3 linked regions of the Ovis aries genome follow. The protein of the gene in region 3 interacts with the protein of the main gene of each other region in a biochemical or structural test. Links are inferred from orthologs where the notes say so. Each region holds a gene or a part of one and is shown on either strand. Other genes may lie near its edges. The genes, in order: PJA1, RNF114 and UBE2D3.

The links.
Region 1: the proteins of UBE2D3 (region 3) and PJA1 form a complex in vitro, tested with the Homo sapiens proteins (2 studies listed by BioGRID). The link is inferred for Ovis aries from reciprocal best matches to the Homo sapiens genes UBE2D3 and PJA1.
Region 2: the proteins of UBE2D3 (region 3) and RNF114 form a complex in vitro, tested with the Homo sapiens proteins (2 studies listed by BioGRID, with this or other methods). The link is inferred for Ovis aries from reciprocal best matches to the Homo sapiens genes UBE2D3 and RNF114.

The regions. Positions count from the first base shown.
Region 1 is NC_056080.1:62,086,496-62,090,249, reverse strand, and holds the start of PJA1 (E3 ubiquitin-protein ligase Praja-1), read left to right. Parts: upstream 1-1,049; 5' UTR 1,050-1,138; exon of another isoform or gene 1,139-3,399; coding exon of another isoform or gene 3,400-3,564; coding exon 3,565-3,754. UniProt on the Homo sapiens protein: Has E2-dependent E3 ubiquitin-protein ligase activity. Ubiquitinates MAGED1 antigen leading to its subsequent degradation by proteasome. May be involved in protein sorting.
Region 2 is NC_056066.1:78,028,418-78,032,071, reverse strand, and holds part of RNF114 (E3 ubiquitin-protein ligase RNF114), read right to left. Parts: intron 2,814-3,654; coding exon 2,663-2,813; intron 933-2,662; coding exon 826-932; intron 510-825; coding exon 395-509; intron 1-394. UniProt on the Homo sapiens protein: E3 ubiquitin-protein ligase that promotes the ubiquitination of various substrates. In turn, participates in the regulation of many biological processes including cell cycle, apoptosis, osteoclastogenesis as well as innate or adaptive immunity.
Region 3 is NC_056059.1:22,373,091-22,376,744, reverse strand, and holds part of UBE2D3 (ubiquitin-conjugating enzyme E2 D3), read right to left. Parts: intron 2,092-3,654; coding exon 2,014-2,091; intron 1,107-2,013; coding exon 1,001-1,106; intron 1-1,000. UniProt on the Homo sapiens protein: Accepts ubiquitin from the E1 complex and catalyzes its covalent attachment to other proteins. In vitro catalyzes 'Lys-11'-, as well as 'Lys-48'-linked polyubiquitination.

The sequences.
Region 1 (3,754 bases), on a different chromosome or scaffold from region 3:
TATTTTTCCATTCTTATTGCTGCCTTAGGTGAAACATATAAACAGCATATAATTGGATTTCTAAAAACTAAATGCTTAAATTGAGAGTTTGCTTTTACATTTTTTATGGGAGACGTTAATCCTTAGTACACACTGATATACCTGGATTTATTTCTGCCTCCCCTCCCTTTCTAACATACTTTCTTGTTGCCTCTCATCCCATTTCTGCGTTTTGTAAGAATGAATTTTTTCCTTTGTTCTACATGCTATTTCTTCAATGGTTTGAAAGTTATACATCCTATTTCTATTCTGTTATTACCCCTAAAACTCCTTGTTCTTCTATTATGTATTTTATTCCCAGTAAAGAACAAAGCTTTGCTATTGTCGTGAACAAAGGTAAGTCTTACATTTGATGCAAGTATTAGAGATACATGTAAAGCGCAATATATAAAAAAGACTTTGGAGTTCAGTAAAATTGTGTAAATCCAAAAGGCATAGCTATAATATTTTAAAGGGCAATTTAATTATAAGGATGTGAAGCTATGTTGTGCTGCAATGACTGATCATTTCTTCTGGATAGAGAAGCTCGATTAACAGCAATAAATTGTATGATAAACAGTTCAGTTTGCTTCAACCACCAGGTTAAAAATTTTTCTGCTGACCACAACCCTAAATACAGTGATACTTCCACTACAAGTCATAACATAGAACATAGGATAGGGTATATTAATATGATTCCTTTCATATCGGAATGAATCAGAAGGAATTTGCAGCTTTCACTTTATACCAGACAGCACGGACAGCAACCATGCAAACCCCAGAACAGAAGGGTATATGACTAAATGTTTAACATTTGTTACAGCTGGCTGTTGGTTACATTTTTCGCTGTCCTTTTCTGTATCCTTGACGATTTCATCATTTCAAACGAAATAATCCTTTCGGGCCCACCCTGATTTGTTGAGAGCAGCTGCCGCCCCCGCCACATCAAGGGGGCGGGCCGCCGCGACGCCACAATCACTTCCGCCGCCGCAGTCGCGCCTGCCCCACTGCTGTCTGGAGGGGGAGGAGCTGGAGCCCCAGGAGCAGCGGCTCTGGCGGTCGTGGAGGTTGGAGGTCCGAGAGATCTGTTCTTCCTGAGAGCGTGCGGGGTCGCGACTGGGTGAGTGAAAGACTTTATTTCCTCGATCTCTTCAGACGTGACGGTGGGGCCAGTGGCCGAGCATGAGGGCGAGTGGCCGGGCACCAGGGTAAGGATGTGGGGGTGGGGGGCTCTAGCGAGCAGATTTTCGGGCTCACCCCTTGGGAAGGGGTGGGGCGGACGCGGGACCTGACCAAAGAGGGAGGCCTGTGTCCTCCATTGGCCCGATTTAGGACTCATCCTCCATCCCTGGCTCCTTACGTATGGCCCGGCCCCCGCTCTGGTGGCTTGAGTCGCTGTTCAAGAGGGGAGTGGTGGTCGCGGCCCTCTATGCCTGTCCTCCCCTCTCCTCCTGCCTCCCTTCTTGGCTCCTCTGTGGAGCGACCCGCGGCCTTTCCCCATTTTGCAGTTGTTTTAATGAATGGTAAAGGATGAAGATTTTTAGGCAAATATATTGTGCCAGGAAAAGAAATGCTGTCAGAAAAACAAATCATTCCCAGGGAAAACTGTATCCCCACACTCCCTTTCCTTTCTCCCCCTTCTCTGCCACATTTTTTGGATCTACCATTTGAGCTGATACACGTTTCCCTCTCTCTCATTATGACATTGCGGACCCCCTCCCATCCTACTGTCTTGCGTGCAGGCACAGGGACACACACACGCACATGCCCACACATACACGGGTGTGTGTACCCGGGCGCACATGCACGTGTGCGTGCATGCGCACACACACACACACACACACACACAAGCACTCACGCATGCCCAAAACCTTCCAATGCAGCTGTCTTACCGCTGCCCCCCATACTCAAGGTTCCTGAGTGTCCCCTCCCCCCTACATGCTTGGACACACATGTACAGACACCCTCTCAGACATTGTCACACTCCCCAGTGCCTTCCCCTGAGAGAGACACAGAATGACTGACAGACACACAGCCTCCCACCCTCCGGTGCCTTTCCTGCCTCTCACCACCTTCCACAAACATACCTCCCCTCCTCCCTGTGCCTCTGCATGCTCTGGTGAGCATACAACACACCACACACACACACACACCCTCTGTGAGGCCTTACCCCTTGCCTGCCACTGACACACATAAGGATATCCTTGGATTGTTGGCTCCTTTTCCCTGCACCACTTAACATGCATACTCACCCACACGCTCTTTCCATACCCCTCTCAGGTGCTCCCTGTCTGCTACATATGTCTAGACAGCCTCCTTCACTGGTCCCTGCCATGCACATACTCACACTCACATAAATCCCTATCTTGGAACATCCCCTCTTCCTGTCGCCACATCCATGAATACAGATGCTCTTTGATTGCTGGTGCCCACCCACCTGCCACATGCATGTCCCTCTCCAGTGATGTCTCCCCATTGATGCATTTGTTCACACTGACACTTCTCGATTGTTGCCTCCCATTTTGATGAACACACACACAAACCCGAGGACACTCCATTCAATGCCGCTATACTCCTCCTGGCCTGCCACAGACACATAAACGTAGGCATCCCTCCCTAGAGCTCCAGCCATCACACATCAGAACCACATGCGCATTCTCTTTCTGCCATATGTTCACATGCCCCTCTCCTCTGAAGCCACACCATGCCTGTCATTTTCATAGCCACATCCACAATGGGTCTCATTCTGCCCAACAGTCATGCCTTTTCCCATGCTGCTGTCACCAGCTCTTTCCCTTTACAAACACAGGAGTCTTTCCTCTTCATGATTGCTGGTCCCCTTCCACCTGTCCTACTGCTCCTGACAGACACTAGGCACTCTCACATACATAGTGATGGTGATCTATATTTTCCACTCTATTCCAATTTGCATTTCTCCTGTATGTCTACAGGGCTCAGAAAAATGCAGGCACCCCATAAAAAAACCACAGCCATCTTTCCTCTTCCCATGTTGGCACAATTCCAGTGTTTTGCCCACCTTCTGAACGTCCAGTCACCCTCCATCTTCCATCAGATTCTCCCATAAGTCTGGCTTTCCTACAAACCCAGTTTTGTAATCATTTTGCCAACATTGCAAATGTGTTCCAGGTCTACACCTGATAGTCACTTGAATGCTATTCCAGGCCTTAGAAGAAAGTGAAACTAATTTTAAAGGCCCCTTATTCTTTTTTTTTTTTTTCTTTACCTGCTGAAGTGAAAATAAATCTCCCTGCTCCTTTATTTTGAACTGATTTGACCTTTCCATCTCCAAAGTGTGTGCAGGGAGCAGGAGCCTTCCCACTCAATCCCCAGCCATGTTGGAAACCCTCCTAAATAGAGCAAATGGGTCAGGAATCTAGCAAGCCTATCTGGCCCAAGCCAGCAGGAAGGTATCAGTCCAATACAGGCAGGAGGTATGGAAGAAGGCATGCTTATGTCAGTTTCAGGCCATCCACAAGCCAGCAAGAAAGGATTTCCAGGCAGAGAAAGACGCCATCTGAAGTCCCAATGCACAGATCAGCCCCCAGTCAAACCACCAAGAGGAGCCGATCACCGTTTTCCACCACTCGTCGTAGTTGGGATGACAGCGAGAGCTCAGGAACCAGCCTGAATGCTGATAATGAGGACTACTCCAGGTACCCGCCCAGAGAGTACAGGGCTTCGGGGAGCAGAAGAGGAATGGCTTATGGACATGTTG
Region 2 (3,654 bases), on a different chromosome or scaffold from region 3:
CTGACTTGAAGGACATTTCAACTGTTAAAATTTAAATGTGAGCTGCAGATGGGGTATTGGCTTGTATCGATGTGACAATTCCTGAGTGTGAAAATTAAAACACACACAAAATGTGGTTTTCTAAGAAGGTACACTTCTTCCTAGGAGATACGTGTTGCAGTATTTAGGGGCAAAGGATCACGGTATCTGTAATCTACTTTCGAATGGCTAGCACAAAATATGTATACAGAGCATGGTTAAGCGAATACGGTAAAATCTTAATCTGTGAGTCCAGGTGAAGGGTACATTAGAGTTCATTAACTAATCCTGTAACTTTTTGTAAAGTCTGACTTTTCCCCCCATAAGAATTTAAACAACAAAACCCACAAAACAAAAAAACTCAAGTTTCTCTTACCACAGATTTGGTGTCTGTGCTATGGGATAACTTGCAGTGTTCCACAAGTCCTTCTTGATCAAAATTCTTCTCAGGACAGTAAGGACAAGGGAAAGTGTACCGGTTTGGGACACTTCTGGAAGATGAAGGCAGGAAAAAAGAAGAAACTTCTCTGTGGGCACCTTTCCACACAATTTCAACCACTGGCCCCTCCCCAAAGTAGCAAAGTTCACTAAATGCGTTAGGACAGGGATTCTGGTGATCACTTCTCAGTCAGGTCAAATGTTTTGAAAGTAACAGTCTAGCCCGCATTTGAAGCGAACATGCGAGTCCTCCATAACCACCCGAAAACAAAAACTTACACCAGCTTTAGCCAGCCTAACAACTACACCTCTGTTCTCCAAAACTCATGAAGACAGACATCGACCAGAGAGAGTGACAGAACCATTTACCTTGGCTGACGAGACGCGTCCTTGGTGGTGGCCTTCACACCTTCCATGATGTAATTCTGGTATTTGGAACAGGTAGCCACATGTGCCCGGATCTTGGACAGGAAGAACTTAGGCAGGAAGGATCAAAGCCCACAAGTTAGCTGGGATCTTGTACCCAATCCAACACAGTGCCAAAGCAAAGGCAAGATGTAAACTAGACCTATACTGCCCTGGGGAGGCAAAGAACCTCACAAGACTCCTGGCTCCACGGAAGGGACTGAAACTCTGATTTTCTGCAGGGTTTCTATTAGTACCAAGGCGGATGTTTTACTTGAGCAAACCAGGATATCTGCTTCCACTTTAAAATCACTCTTGGAGAGGTTTGTTTCATGATATGCTCTCTGCTCACAGAGACACTCCAAACCCAGTTAAGTGTCTAAAGTTTTCTACCCCAGCACTTAAAATTAGCCTCCTTTCAGCATGCCAAGAACCATGTTCTAAGTGCAGCAGAGACAAGTGATGATTTACATAAAAGGGATAAAGGCCAGTAATCCTAGTTAAATACTATTCTGTCACCAGATTGTGATCAATGAAATTACCAAAAAAAAGAAAAATCAGATTCTGAATTCTACCTAATAAAATCTAGTCTTTGCAAGACAGAAAGACAAAATTTTACTTCAATATCTTGAATTTCTAAATCAAAAGAAACTGGAAGGAAAAATATGTTTCAGTACTTGCGCTCTGGCTTATCATGATGCTTCTGTCTTATCGCTAGCTAAAGAACTTGACTTCAAGCTGCCAGTCAAAGAGCTCCAGGTTAAAGGGGATGGGAACTAGCTCTACTCAGAACTATAGCCACTGTGTACCTGTAGCGCCAAATCCTCTGAAAGGAGGCAGGGTAAAGGGACACCTAGTCCATGCCTGCTCTCACTAAGGTTTAAACTGAAGAGACTGACATGCAAGGGTGTCCGGTAAGTCATGGAGTGAAAGAAGTTTTCAAAAGTGCAAAGAAGTTGTAGAAATACATATTATAGTAGGATCCTATTTTGTAAAAATCCTACATCTGTTTATATAAAACCCACACCTGTGTCAGAGAGCAGGAAAATGTTTTGCAGCCTTCTAAACTGAAGTATTTTTAAAAAGGTAATCTCTGGAGTGGGGAACAAACCTACATTAATTTATATTTTTGTGCTGTCGGGAATTAATGAAATCACAATTATTTAAAACCCAGTAATTCTGTATATATCACTTTTGAAAATAATAGTATTTCTCCTGTGCAGTTATAATTATTTTAAAATAAATATTCTTGACTCTAATACGGTCATACAAAAAAAGAACATAGATGCATTTCAAATACTGGACACCGCTATTATCAAATGTCCTCATACTGACCTTTGTACTACAATTCCTCCTTGCCAAATGCCAAAAGCTGAACAAGTTTTACATCTGTAGTAAAATACATCACAAAATTTCCCCTCAAACTCACTGCAGCAGGTAACTTTGAGGCACTGACTTCATTTTATACTTTAAAAAATGGAGAAATATCACTTTGTCATATTCTAACTAAATTTGTGTATGCTGCTTTGGGAAAAATGGGTCTTTTACAGAAAAAAAACTGGGATAACTGATTTCTATGGTTTTCAAAGCTAAGCTATGTAATATGCTAAACCAATTCTTTAAAAGAAAAAAACAAACCACACAACCAATCAGGTTACCAAAATGCAACAGCAGGGCCACGGCCAGCCAGCATGCACACGTGCTGCTCGTCACTCAGCCACGCTCTAAGTTCCGAAACAAGGCGGCAAGCCTGTGTTACCCATCTTACAGAGGCCGACTGCTCCGCCCCACTCCCACATACATTTTTACGGCAGCCGTGGCAGGAAGTCTCTGTGCTCTCAATCTGCCGCTCGAGCTCCAGGGCTCGGACGCCAGGCGCCAGAGCGCTGCGACACACGCCACAGACAGGCTTCTTCGGCTTCAGACACTCCTGCAGGCATGCAGAGCAAAAGCTAGAACAAGACACACAGAGAACCGGCGTCATGCATCGTGGAGACAAGACGACAAAAATGGATCAACTTTTCAAAATGACATCAATGGATAATGAACTAAAAACTACTCGATCTCTGCTCTCGATTCAGTCCTTCTGGGCAAGAAGAATGGTGGCGGTAGGTAGGCAGTGTTCCTTGCAAAGGACACACAGGTCCAACGACAGAAATGAACGCAAACTACCACGACACATGGCAGAAGGTGCCACGGCACAGTCTTCAGTCCTTAGCCCTGGCCACCGAGGGATCCTGCTGGGCTTTCCCGAGCTTCAGCTTCTCTTCTGTGAAGTGGAGACCACAGTGCCTGCCTCGAGAATCTAGGGAGGATGGGTCACGTACAGTGGACTCTGAGGACAGTGTCTAGCACGTATGAAATGCACCATAAGCAGGAGCAGCCATCAACAGAGGTGAATGCAAAGCGCTATGGAAACACAGTTAAGAGCAGCCAGCTGTAACCCGAGAAAGACAGCAGTGGTTAGACTGCAGACAGCATACACGAAAGAGCTTAGAAGAGTTCAGTGGCAGAGGAGGGGAAGAATATTCCAGGCCCCTAGACTTCTATTTCTTTACATGCATTGTGCATGTTTACCACTCTGCCTCATAAGCCCCAGGTACTTAAAGCAAGGTACCAACCAAACCAAAATCGAGTTTTAGAAAAATAATTCTGGGATTAGCATGGACAATAGAGTTGTCAGTTTTAAATTTTTTTTTTTTTCAGATGAGAAAAGAAACCAAATAGATGGCCAAAGGCAAGAGATCATGAGGGCCTGACTGAGGCAATAAAGAATTCAGGAAATGATTTGGG
Region 3 (3,654 bases):
AGATTCAAATGCACTGTACAAGGACACAAAAGGCTTGATGTCCTGACTTAACAAACGAATGAACAAACAAAACCTGTTTCACTTTGCATTTACCACACTTCTAAATATAAAACTTCTTGTAAAACACTACTAACTATTTCAGGAAATAATCTGGGGAATGCTACATTAAGTATTCAGCCAAAAAATGAGAATGCTTCAAGTTAGCTGCTATCCTCAAATATCTGAAATTCAGTCATAATTAGCAACATTAAAAACTCATTTTGTGTACTAAGGAATGCTAATAAGCCAGCATCAAAAACTGAATATCACTAAAAGGCAGACTTCCTTCTCATTAAGTAGCTGTGTGGTAGGTGATTTTTATTTGTGGGGTAAAAGTGACATAAAAGCCACCAGAGTTGTTTCAAAGAGATGGAGAGATATTCCATCTGGAACATCAATGTGGAAACTAGACAACCTATTAAAAATGCCACACAACAGATCGCTTTTAAAGTAGAAGAGCAGAATTTATCTAGAGACCTTTCCCAAGACTATGCATTTTAGACTATTATTAGATAGGAAACAACCTACCATGATACATGAAAACTTAACTAAAGGTTTCTTAAAAAGATTTTTTATCTAAAAAATAAGAAACACAGGAAAATGAAATCAGAATTTTCCCATAAGAAACCTCAAGTTCAAAAGCTCTTTTAACTTTAGGTGTACCATTTTTGCTAAATGGCAACAAATGAGTGAGATGTACAAGTGGCTTGGGATTGAAAAATATACTAAGAAAGCTATTAAATGCTGCTATTGATATTTGCAAATACTGCCCCCTCCATCTGAATGTTAACTTCTTCCCAAAAAATCTTTAATCAATACTGCTAAGAGCAAAAAGGATGTAACTTCTTATTCCTTTTCCCATCTTTATTAAAAAGCTGGCATTATAAAAATACTTAGGTAAGTCAGCTCAAAAATGAAACTCCTTTAACTATTAGAAAAATCAAAGCCGCTAGTATTTTACCTTTAGAAATAGTTAAAGCAGGAGACCACTGTGATCTTAGAATATCGAGACAAATGCTGCCATTACTGTTAATATTTGGATGATAAATTCTTGTTGTAAATGCAACCTAAAATAAAAAAACAACTTTATTTTTCCCAAATAAAAACAAGCATTGTAAACTTTGGCAAAAAACTATAGCTACACTTAAAATAGTTAAAAATTTTAAAAATCTAATAGCTAAAGTTATACACATAAAAATATCTATATTCTGACCAAGATCCTTCAGGGGCTTCTTTTTAATTAAAATGGAAAATATAACCATGTGGCAAAAATTTTATTATCAGTGATATGGTGGGTTGTTCTGAAGGTAAACTTTGGCCCTACCATAGCATGAGTATCAAAGGAGCAACTTGAAGGGAATTTAGGATTCACTAACAAATTAGAAACTTTCTGAGGTAGACCAAAGCATACAGATTAGCTCATTTAAGGCATCAAGGTACAAAAGCATGTATTAGAATCTCCATTTCCAACTGTACATAAAACACGCATTTGAATATCATAAAAGTATTTTCATTTAAAGGCCAAAATATACTGTAGTCTTAAATCCCAACACAAATAATGGTATATTTTTTAGCAACGTGTGAAAACGCACAATGAAGGTTAGTGTTTGGAACGCTAGTATTTAAGACACTAGAGTTACTGATCCAAATCTGTATACGCACAATAAAGTGAGAAAAATGCTTCCACATGGTATAGTTGAGCCTTGCAACGTAAAGGATAAGGCAATTCTTAACTCCAGTTACAAAGTTCAAATCCAGGTTTAGCTCTTCTTTTAACTAAGGCTAACAGTCAGCATTCAACATCAGTGATTTAATTCAGTATATACATTCAAGCCCCAATTATTCTTATTCATTATACACTCACAGTAGTTTAGCCTTAACTTATGCAGAACCCTAATGTCTAGGAATGTTCTATTCTTCTGAATAAAATACAAATCTTTACTCACAGACTTGGGGGTGGCAGGGAATACTTGCCTTAGGTGGTTTGAAGGGGTAGTCTGTAGGAAAATGAATTGTCAAAAAGAATACACCGCCTTGATATGGGCTGTCATTCTGTGAAAAGAAAAATATGCTTAACTCTGCTATTTAAAATGACTGCTAAATAATTCATGTCAACATTTATTTGCTAAGCATTTCTCTAATATGAAGCAAAATTACCTATTTACACAAAAATAGTCTAAATTATTCCATGATAAAGTTCTTATTAGTGAAAAACCATAATATTTACTATAGAATAAGGAATCATAATTTAGATCCTATTTTACATGCAGTCAAAGAATTTTAGAAAAACTATTCAGAAACACAAGGTTCGAGATCCTAGTTCTCATCAAGTACAGGTAAGAATGAAGTCTACATAATAATGCATCTAATTATCATCTGAAAATAAAGCTTATATCTGTTTGTTGAGCATTTCTTCTAATGACAGTCATATATACACAAACAACTTTGTACCTTAACAGGCTATTCTGGTCACTGGCAAACCAGAAATTTATCCCTTGTAGGTAAACATAACTCCCTTCAATAGGGGAAGTAGAATAGAAACAAAGAAGTTTCTAAGAAGTTTAGTTCCCAATTGGCCCCTCAAAATTCTCATTTAATAAAACCATGACAGCTTTTTCTTCAAAATTACACCACAAAATTCTTTATAGTAAGTCAATACATAAAACTACTAGATTTGGAAAAGCTGGGATGTTTGCTTTGCACACTTGAAACAGAAGATACAAAATTTCAAGCTACAGCAGTACTTTTTCTCCTTAAATGTTTTGCTCACTGTAATTTGAGTATGAAAAACTCCTCAGTAAATAAATAGCATATAACATTAGTATGAAGTAACATTTGGGAGAAACTTACTAGTATTCCACATTTAATTTAACCAATACCAAGAAAAAGATGCAACTGTTGCCATTTCATGAGTAAATGAAATAGGACTTAAACATACCAAAGAATGAAAAGATGATGATGTAGTCAAGGATTTTAAGGTCAAAGAGTTTTTTTAAAAAAATGGAATTGCATAACTGCCTCTGGATATGCAGTCAACCTGGAAATATGTTTGAAAATCTGCAGTAACTGAATTATTGTCAATACCCATTCCTCTCCATTTGAGTGAGGATGTATACAGTGCTATCATGAACCTTGTATCATACTATGCCCACTTCTTATTCGAGGCAAATAACCTTCACAGGGCTGACACTGTAGTACAGCTCATTTAATCCCACCCCTCTGTAAAACTACTAAACATTAATTACTAACTCCATTCTACTTACTAGGTAGTGAAAAGGGACACAGAATAATTTCTCATCTTGCTAAATCTACAGTCTGGTAGACATATAGTGAAATTTTATAGCTATTATAAAGAAATGAAAAAGGGTATATACCTGGGGTTTAAAGGAGAATGGTAAGTATACTGATGATCAAGTTAAAAGATACATATGATTTAATGGGAGAGCTACTATTTAAATGTCTTTCCTACTTCCAAGTCCCTCTGCTTCATAATGCCTACAAAACTCTAATTCAAGAAAATTAAGACTGCAAAATAGCATCTGCTAAGTACAGACAAATCAGACACAAGAATGTGACCCAAATTTATTAAATTAACATATCATTGTTAAATAATGA